3 linked regions of the Rattus norvegicus genome follow. The protein of the gene in region 1 purifies or fractionates together with the protein of each later gene. This does not show direct contact. Links are inferred from orthologs where the notes say so. Each region holds a gene or a part of one and is shown on either strand. Other genes may lie near its edges.

Region 1 (2,378 bases):
CAGAGCTACACAAAGAAACTCTGTCTTAGAAGGAAAAAAAAAAAGGAAATTATTATTTACACATTTCTGTTTCCTTGAGCCACTGTCTTAGGCCTTTGTAGTTGAGGATGGTCTTGAATTTCTAGTCTTCCTGGCTTCACTTCCCAAATGCTGCAATTACAGGTCTGGTTTATTCGGTGCCATAGATCTAACCCAGGGCTTTGTGCATGCTAAGCAAGCACTCTACCAACTGAGCTACATCCCGAATTAGAGCATGGGGAATTTTCAGTGAGAACCTGTACTGAGTACACTGATAGAGCAAAGAGTTTCTCACTGAAGGTCAGAACCCCAGTGACTCACACACAACCCTTTTCCTTGCAGTGGTACCCAGAGGTGACCCATTTCTGCAAGGGGGTGCCCATTATTGTTGTGGGCTGCAAGATAGACCTGCGTAAGGACAAGGTGCTGGTGAACACACTTCGGAAGAAAAGACTGGAGCCGGTGACCTACCACAGGGTAGGTAGGAAGCTAGCTGTGGATGAGAGGCATTTGGGGAGGGAACCTCAGGACACCTCTCTGCTATGCCAGGCATTTAGCACTCAGGGTCTTGGAGGGCGTCAGCAGTCAGGAAGGGTCAGCACTTGGAAACAGAACCCAGAATACTCAAGGAGTTCTGACAGGACAGATAAGTAATATGTATAGCACAAATGAGACCAAGGTCCATGTTATTTTCGACCCTTCTTTGCAATACATGGATTAGTTACCCACTGAGGGTGCCCTAGAGAAGCCCCGCTTCCTACTATTGTCCTCAAGACTCCTGGCACAGTCAGAAGGGCTACAGCAAGACCAAGTGTGAGTTTCACCCCACATCCCAAACTCATAGTAACTCCCACTGCTCTTTGGCAGGGCCATGATATGGCAAGGTCTGTGGGAGCAGTGGCCTATCTCGAGTGTTCAGCTCGGCTCCATGACAACGTGGAAGCCGTCTTCCAGGAAGCAGCTGAAGTGGCTCTCAGCAGTCGCAGTCATAACTTCTGGCGGCGGATTACCCAGAATTTTTGCGTGGTCACCTGACTGGTTTGGAACTCACCTTGCCTTCCGATTTACTCAGCTGGAGAAAGACCCAGGAGCAGACCTTCTACTCTGTTGACTGGGATGGACCTAGTCCCCAGGCTGAACTGGTAGAACCACACAGCCACAGATGGACTCCACTGAGGCCTGGCCCCTGGACAGAGGAATCCTGGATTGAGGAAGAGGGTTCCCAGACCCTTAGCTCTGGAACCATTAACAGACTCCCTGTGCCCAATCCTGGACCTGCATCATGAGTGGGAGGTCTGTGTGGTCTGATTTGGCGCCACCTTGTGGCTATTCTCTGAGTTATAATATATCTACAGGACCCAGGGTTCCTGAGACCAACCTGCCCAGGCTAACACGCTGCCCTGCCGTGTCCCTGATCATCCTCTTCATCCCATTGATAAGTGTAACAACTAAAATGGCATCACTTGTTCTTAGTGTCCTGACTCTTGCTTCAAAGCATTTTTGCATCCTACTAGGTAGGAAAGAGCCCACCTAGACCCTAGGGTGGAACTGTTAGGATCCAAACCTTACTTTATCACTTCCAAGACCTTGACAAAGTTCTAGGCCTCAGCCTCATCTGTAAAATGGCCAATCAGAAACGGGGTTGGGGATTTAGCTCAGTGGTAGAGCGCTTGCCTAGCAAGCGCAAGGCCCTGGGTTCGGTCCCCAGGTTCGGTCCCCAGCTCCGAAAAAAAGAAAAAAAAGAAAAAAAATTACGTCAAGCATGAGCAAAGCATGAGCAAAAGTCATGAGGACTGCATATGCAGAGCTTAGCAGGTGCCTGGCATCAACGGTGTGTTCTCTCATTTGTCTACTATGTTAATAGATTTCTCCAGAAACAGAACCAGTGAGACACACACAACACAGAGGGAGATAGTGCAGTGGTGCTTCTCAGGGGCCACCACATAAACCAAACAACCTAAATTCAATTCCAAGAACCCACACAAAGAGCAGGATGTGGGGTTGATGAGGTGGTTCAGATAAAGGTACTTGCCACCACGACTTGAGTTCCTTGGGATCCATATGGTAGGAAAAAATTGACTCCTGCATTGACCTCTGACTTCATGCACATACCTTAGTATAAACCCACCCACACACACACAGTAAAACTAAAGTATAATTTAAAAAAAATTTTAGGATAGAGGCTAGTGATCAAGAGTACTGGCTTGTCTTCCAAAGGACCTAGGATTGGTTCCCAGCACCCGCGTGGCAGTGCACAGTCACCTGTAATTTCTGTTCTGTGGGATTCAGTGCCCTCTTCTACCTCAGGCACAAAACGTCAGACAAAACATACACACCATAAAATATAAAATCAAGCCAGT
Region 2 (3,660 bases), on another chromosome or scaffold:
ATTATTGTCTTAACCTTGTCTTCCATCCTTGATAATTATTCCTTGGCTCAGTTTCTTTTACTGATTTTGTTCTATAGTGTAGGGTTATTATTATTGTTATTATTATTATTACTATTATCATTATTATTATTGATATCATTCATAAGTAACACTCTGACACCTTTCCTACATTTTAGTTGTTTTGATATTTCTGTTTTTGAAGAAATTGTGAGTTTAATGAAAATGAGATAAACACTTGTTTATCAACCTTTAAAAAATGTAATACCTTTAAATTTAGGAAATATTATTGTATATATTTTAGTTTTTGTCAAAGAAAATGAATATGATAATAACCAAGTTTTGAGTTTTATAATAGATTCTGTCTATATATTAAACCTAGAAACTTTAAAAATAACAGGTTTATGAGTAGACTGAAATTATCTATAAGCTCATGACCATGGTCTTAATGTTAATGACAGTGCAAGCTATTCATAATTGCTTTATACTATTATTATGGCTACTGGGTTCTTTGAATTCTCACAACTTGCTGTAATAATTTAAAAAGGACTGCTACCAGAATAGTATTGGCAATAAAATTTGACAATTCTAAAATACCATATTGGATTTTTTTGCTTCAGGCTTATACAATGATTTGATCTTCATTATGATGTCGCGGAGACAGAAAAATGTTTAAAGAACTAATCCATACCTTCTAAAAATCACTATAAGTAGTAATACATCATAATGGAGATACAGTGGTCATACTTATTCAGGTTTCTGGTAATATGATTGGTGAAGAATTATGTATTTCCTGGAAATGTTAATGAACCACAAATGATTCATACATGACATATTTTGAAAAAAAATTGTTTGTGTCTGTGTGTAGTCTGTATGGCAGTAGGTTTTTGTGTGTAAGTATGTTTGTCTACAGTATGTGTTTAGATATGTTCTTGTGAATGCAGACAGAGGCAAGGGGTCAAATTGGTTATTATGCTCTACATTTTCTGTGAAATTATCTTGTGAAAATGTCTTTCTCACTGAAACTGGAGGAATGCTGATAAGTTCCTCTAGTCTTCCTGTCAACACCGCAGGCAGATCTGGGTTTACAGATGTGCATCATCACCATCCCTGGCTTTTTACATCCTCCTCATTTGCACCCTATTCTATACAGCTAGTACTCTAATTCACTGAGCTATTGCTGTAGCCCATACAATCTTTTCCTCCTTATAATATTCTTGGGTGGAGGTATACCATGTACTTTTATTTCACCTATTAGATGAAAGGAAGTGTTCTGTTGTTCTTAGTTATTCACAGAGTGAAGTTAAGACTAATATATCCCGGGCTCTGATGATGGTGTTTGAAAGCCTAAAGGCACAATGCACAATGCATATTTCTTTTCATTCTTAATCTTAGTAACAGCCATTAAATACACGGAAGATTAATTAGAGTCTGTTTTATATATTTTCAAGTTTTTAGTACTTTGACAAGCTATATTTAGAGATGTTTATATCATAATTTGTGTTACATAATATCTCTCTGAAGTGCTGTTGAATTTATTAGCACATGACGATTTGTCTTCTGCAAATTTTAATGCAAAATGTCCCTTATTTTTATTTTTCCAGTCAGTGGTCATTTTTAAAGCCAAAATTACCTTGGGAGATTACAGAAAAATGGTGTGTTTTAAAACCTTTGACACATCACACAAATTGCAACTGTAGCTATGCATATTAAATGCATATGATTTTATAAAACAGATATTTTTTAGAAATATTCTGCTTACATAGGTCTTCATATTAGTCTTTAAAAGAAATGACTCAGCCCAGTTTTATAAGCTCGTGTGACTGTCCTGAGTAAATGTTCTGCACTGAATTCAAGACATTGCTTGCTACCCAAGGCCAAGAAACATATTTTTTTTTTGAAAAGGACAACTTGTAGCTGTTTATAACTGTTTCTGTGCTCATAGATTTAGTATTAAGGAATCACTTAACTTTCATTAACTTTAGCAACAATACCTTAAATAGATAGATAAGGTGGATAAGTATTTTCGAACACAAGCTTCAATCCCTGCAAACTAGAATATTAAGTCTGTACATACTTTCAATCAATTACATCACACTCAATTTGGCCCCCTAATGTTAAGAGTGCCTTTAAGCCTTAGTCATATTTTCTGTCCAAAGAAGTGTAAATATTAGTGGAATTATTTCCTTCTTGGCGCTAGTGGAAAAAAAAAAAACCTGAGTTCTTTTTGCATTCTGAATTCCTTCATAAGAAAATTGATTGATGCAAGTAGAAAAACGTTCTCAAATATTTTCTCCTTTGTACAGGCCACAGTATTATAAAATAATTGAGGAGTGTGTTTCACAGATAGTGCTGCACTGCAGTGGCATGGATCCAGACTTCAAGTACAGGCAACGCATAGACTTTGATTTCACTCATCTCATAGGTATGGGTTATGCTCTTCGCTGTCATTCATGTCTCACGCCTTCTGCCTCCTGAGCACTTTTTTACTGGATATTTTATGTATTTACATTTCAAATATTATTCCCAATGGAGGAGTTAGAAAAAGGAGAGGGAGCTGAAGGAGTTTGCAACCTCATAGACAACCGGACACCCTAGAGCTCCCAGGAACTAAACCACCAACCAAAGGGTACATATGGAGGAAACCATGACTCCAGCTGCATATGTAGCTTTTTGGGCATCAGTGAGAGGAGAGACCCTTGGTCCTATGAAGGCTTGATGCCCCAGAGTAGGGGAATGCCAGGGCAGGGAGGCAGGAGTGGGTGGGTGGGTGAGGGAGCACCCTCACAGAAGTGGAGGAGGGAGGATGGGATAGAGGGTTCATGGAGGGGTTAACATTTGAAATGTAAATAAATAAAATATCTAATAAAAAGAAAAAGTAATAATTCTTAAAAATTCTTATATGTTTAGTTATATATTTAGTTATTTTAGCTTAGTTTTCCCTCACTAGGTTCTTTTTCTGAAATGTAATATAAGTAGCACCACATAGCACATATTCTCTGTGTTTGTGTTTTTACATGAAGAATAATTTTGAGATTCATTTCTGTTTTTTTCATGTCTTGATTTTTATCCGTTGATATTGTGAAATAGTATTCATGTAAGAATATAATATAATTCATGTTTCTTGGTGGTCAGTTGCATTCTCCCAGAGTTCAACTGTTGCAATAAAGCTGTTCTGTATCATTTGTATAGAACTGCAACTCCGACATAAGTTTCAATTTCCTTTGGAGAAATATTGGGTTAATGTAGAAACATTAGACTCAAAATGTGTTTTTCATCATGTTTATTAACTAGATTCTTACAATTGTAAGTTTTTTCTTTTTGTACACGATGCATTTTGTTTCAGATCAGAAGTTAAGTAAAATATTTTACTGGAAAACTTAAACTGATGAATGTCTCTGCACTTTCCTCCCCCAGCTTTTTAGCAGATCATTTTGAAATTTTATTATCTTAAACATGGAGTTTTTTACCACCTCTGTCAACAAAATAATGTGTATTTTTTAAAAGAATTATGTAGTGTTAAAAGTTGAATTATAATTGAAGACTTTCAGTGCAGTGATAATTTCATCAAAAAATATTTTGGATGGTTGAGTATTTTTGCTTTAACCCTAAAGAAAGAAATCATGATAGGATATGTACATTATAGTATATATTAATGTGACT
Region 3 (3,760 bases), on another chromosome or scaffold:
CGGATCTCAGCCCAATTTCCCTGTGTTTTCTGTCTTGTTACTCATGCCCTACTTTATTCACAGGCCACTCTTCATGTCCCCCGATATCTTGTACTCCTCTCAGTTTCTTGTCCCTTGTTCTCATGACTTTTGTCAACATCTTTCCACCCTGTTCCAGAGCAATTAGGCAGTGAGACACATCTGTGATGGGCAGATGGCAGCTGGAATCTGGCTCGGCATATTTTAAAGCAACTCATCAAAGCCTTAAAACAGGTACACATTCTGACCTAGTATTTCTGCTTCTGGGAATATAGAATATATCCTTAAATGTTCAGAGACACAAAGATGTTTACACACACACACACACACACACACACACAACCATTATCTAAACAGCCAAAAAACAGAAACACTTAATAAGTGACAATGATGGAAATCACCTAAAACACATTATTATAGTACAAAGATGGTGGGTCACAGTGGCCCCTATGTGAGAAGATACTCAGTGACACGGTCATAACTATAGATTTGTAGTATCACATATTTATTTTAAAAATCCACATGGATGAGCATAAGAAGGATCAAAGAAATTTATCGAAACATGAGTAGCAGTTGGCTCTGTGGCGTGTGTGGTCACTTTGGACTTTTAAGACATAGAGCCTCTAGTGTACCCCACATCGTTACAATAAAGACGTGCTATTTTCACCATTAATGAAAAGAGGGTTTTTTTTTTTAAGAAAAAATTGATGCAATTATTTACTGGCTTTAGAAGAGGGACATGAGTGTTAAAAAAAAAATGCCTGTTAAAAAGACTCAAAACAGATGTGTCAGGTCCCAAATTCCTCCCCTAGCACTTCTAAAAGAACCAAGAAGAGGAAGAAATTAACCAAGGTATGGTGATGTGGACAACTAGCTTGCCAGAACTCCTGTGGGAAGGACTGGTTGTTTCCCCTGTAATCTGTTGCAAATGGATTTTTTTATATATATAATATATAGCACAGATATCTCAAATCAACTATGAAGGCTCTAGCTTGGTATTTCTCAATCTGTGGGTCAGGACCCCTTTGGGGGTCCTGCATTTCTGATATTTACAATACGATTCAAAGCAGTATCAAATTACAGTTATGAACTAGCAACCATAATTTTATGGTTGGGGTCATCACAACATGAGGAACTGTATTAAAGGATTGCAGCATTAGGAAGGTTGAGAACCACTATGCCAGCCAATCTCTCGTCTTGTACTCCACACAGGTAGGCAGTTGGTGCACACTAGGTCAAGGGATCTCATTAAACTACAACTCTTGGTGTTTGTCTTTAGTCTGTGTCAAAATGGTAGGAACCACAATGTCTTTGGAAGCCAGGTCAGTGTCCTGCGGAGCCTGTTAACAGTAAATAAGATTATTCAGGTCAAGGTCTGTATGGTGGGTGGAGTACTTAGACTTCTGGGAAATAAAGGCAAGAAAATGAAATAGATAGAAATATGCACAGGGTAGCACCTGGAAGGTCCTAAGGTTCCCACCCGGGCTTCGAGGTTGAGAAGTTTACACACATCTTCCAGGCAGTCTTGCTAAATACCCAGCTAGACTTGTCTGAACCGTCATAGCATTTCAGGATGCCACGACTGACAGTTACAGTAATTTGTGATATTGATCTTTCTCCCCTCTTTGAAGAGTCTATTCCATGAGGACAAAGACCCAAGGCGAGTGCTGCTTAATGCCTCACACACAGACCACCCAAACATTTTGGGACAGAGGTTTTCCTTTGCGTTTTCTATGTTGATTTACATAACTCAGGCTACACAGCATTCTGGTCATATTGAAGGACCAGGAGATAGTGTTAGGACCTAAACTTCAGTCCAAGACAGTTTCCAAATTTTAAAAGGAAAACACCACCTATAAATATTAGAGTATGACGGGGTGACTAATCCTAACATGGGCAATAAGTTGCAGTCTACAACAGGTCAGAACCTGATTGAAATAATTTTAGTATAGAGCACTACTTTGCCTTGACGGCAATTTGTGCTTAGCTTCAGTAAAGCCCAAAGGTCAAGATTTCCTCACTGGAAAGCCAGTTCCTCACTGGAACCACAACTGATTAAATGCATCTTTAAATTACCCATGATGCACAGAGATAGCTGAGATGTCCAACTGGCAGCCAGTTCATCCACATATTTGGATGGCCACTTCTCAGAGCCGCATCCCCAGATACAGATCAAAACAGGAAGTTAAAGCAATCATCCACTTGACCTCTCAGGCAGGAGCCACTTGCACAGGCTCTCTCCCCCTCAAGCACTTCACTGAGCACAGATCCAACTGCTTCTCCAAGCACGTCACACCCAGAACCTTTTCCCGTCACCTCTGGAAAGATGAAGCTGAGGAGGCCGGAGCCACTGGAGAAGCTTGAGGAAGAGTTGGTTTGCTGGTAAAGCAAAGGTGTTCACACAGGAAAATCTGGCCGGCAGGGAGTGAGGTGTGGGATGTGCAGAGAGAAGTCGGGGAAGTTGCTTGCTCTGTCAGGCTGGATCCCAGGCTCCACCCTCTCCAACGTCAGGGTATTGGCCTGAGGCAGCCACCTTTCACCTCCCAACAGGATGATTTCAATAGTTTCTTCTCTCTGGCCCTTCGTGTTCAGGCCAGATGGTAGACCTTTCCTGTGCATGGCCAGACAGTAAATGCTGTAAGCGCTGTAGAAAATTTGGCCTCTGCTACAAACACTGAGTGCTGCCATTTTCCAACAGAAGCAGCCACAGACATATGTAAACATGGTGAGCCCACGTTCTAATAACACTCCACTCTAGAAAGTGAAACATGAACTTCATGTAAGGTTATAACGCCCAAGGCTGGGGATGCAAGTCAGTTGGGGCAATGCAGACTAACATGGGCAAAACTCAGGGTTTCATTCCAGCACCATGGAAAATGAGATCTGGTAGTGTACACCTGAAACCCCAGCACTAGGGAAGTACAAGCAGGAAAATCAGAAGGTCCAGGACAATGAACCACAACGCGGTGAGTTCAAGACCAGTCTCAGCTACGTGAGACCCTCTCTCAAAACAAAGATTTTTAAAAACTCTAAAGATGTTTTAGCATATCCACAAACAGTATTTTTAAAACTTTTTTGCTACCATCAAATATGTGAAAACCATTCTTAGTTCACAGAACAAAAAAGGAAGGTGGTCTGCCCAGGCAGGCCCTGGACCGCAGGCTAACGAGCTGTGATGCACCGTTGAAGGCACGCACTTCATCTACTGAGCTGATCCAAACAGTGCTCAGGAAGGCCTCACCTGATGAGTGACATTTACCTGAGACCTAAAGGATAAAGTAGGAGAAAAATGTCAGTAGAAAGGTTTCCAGACTGGAGGAGTGTGTGCACTGGCCTGGATCAGGGAGGTGACAGGCACAACTGAGTCAGGGAGAAGCCCAGGATGTGAGTAATGAGAGCTGGTGAGGGCAGAGGCCCAAACTCAGATGGCTCACACGCTGCAATGCCAGCCCCGGCCGACTGGATTTTCCTGCCCTCATCATCCGACTTCCCAAACACTGCGTAAGCTTAGGCCAACCACAAGTGGACACATGCCGCCATCAGTCCTTCGTAGTAGTTGCATGGCTGAGCCCATAGATTATTAGACTAGGCTGTTTTCCTTTTTAGGTGCACATATGTGCACACACAGGACAACTTTCAGGGATTGGTTCTCTCCATCTCCCATGGGTTCCAGGGCTTGAACTCAAGTCATCAGTAACAGCAGTGAGTGAATGTCTTTATCTTCTGGGCCATCTCAACGACC

The links.
Region 2: the proteins of Rhod (region 1) and Diaph2 purify together in Homo sapiens (co-immunoprecipitation; 3 studies listed by BioGRID and IntAct, with this or other methods). This does not show direct contact. The link is inferred for Rattus norvegicus from reciprocal best matches to the Homo sapiens genes RHOD and DIAPH2.
Region 3: the proteins of Rhod (region 1) and Daam1 purify together in Homo sapiens (affinity purification with mass spectrometry; 3 studies listed by BioGRID and IntAct, counting the BioPlex papers as one, with this or other methods). This does not show direct contact. The link is inferred for Rattus norvegicus from reciprocal best matches to the Homo sapiens genes RHOD and DAAM1.

The regions. Positions count from the first base shown.
Region 1 is NC_086019.1:211,137,561-211,139,938, reverse strand, and holds the end of Rhod (rho-related GTP-binding protein RhoD), read left to right. Parts: intron 1-360; coding exon 361-495; intron 496-885; coding exon 886-1,053; 3' UTR 1,054-1,813; downstream 1,814-2,378. UniProt on the Homo sapiens protein: Involved in endosome dynamics. May coordinate membrane transport with the function of the cytoskeleton. Involved in the internalization and trafficking of activated tyrosine kinase receptors such as PDGFRB.
Region 2 is NC_086039.1:96,941,707-96,945,366, forward strand, and holds part of Diaph2 (protein diaphanous homolog 2), read left to right. Parts: intron 1-2,303; coding exon 2,304-2,422; intron 2,423-3,660. UniProt on the Homo sapiens protein: Could be involved in oogenesis. Involved in the regulation of endosome dynamics.
Region 3 is NC_086024.1:96,181,609-96,185,368, reverse strand, and holds the start of Daam1 (disheveled-associated activator of morphogenesis 1), read right to left. Parts: upstream 2,389-3,760; 5' UTR 2,095-2,388; intron 1-2,094. UniProt on the Homo sapiens protein: Binds to disheveled (Dvl) and Rho, and mediates Wnt-induced Dvl-Rho complex formation. May play a role as a scaffolding protein to recruit Rho-GDP and Rho-GEF, thereby enhancing Rho-GTP formation. Can direct nucleation and elongation of new actin filaments.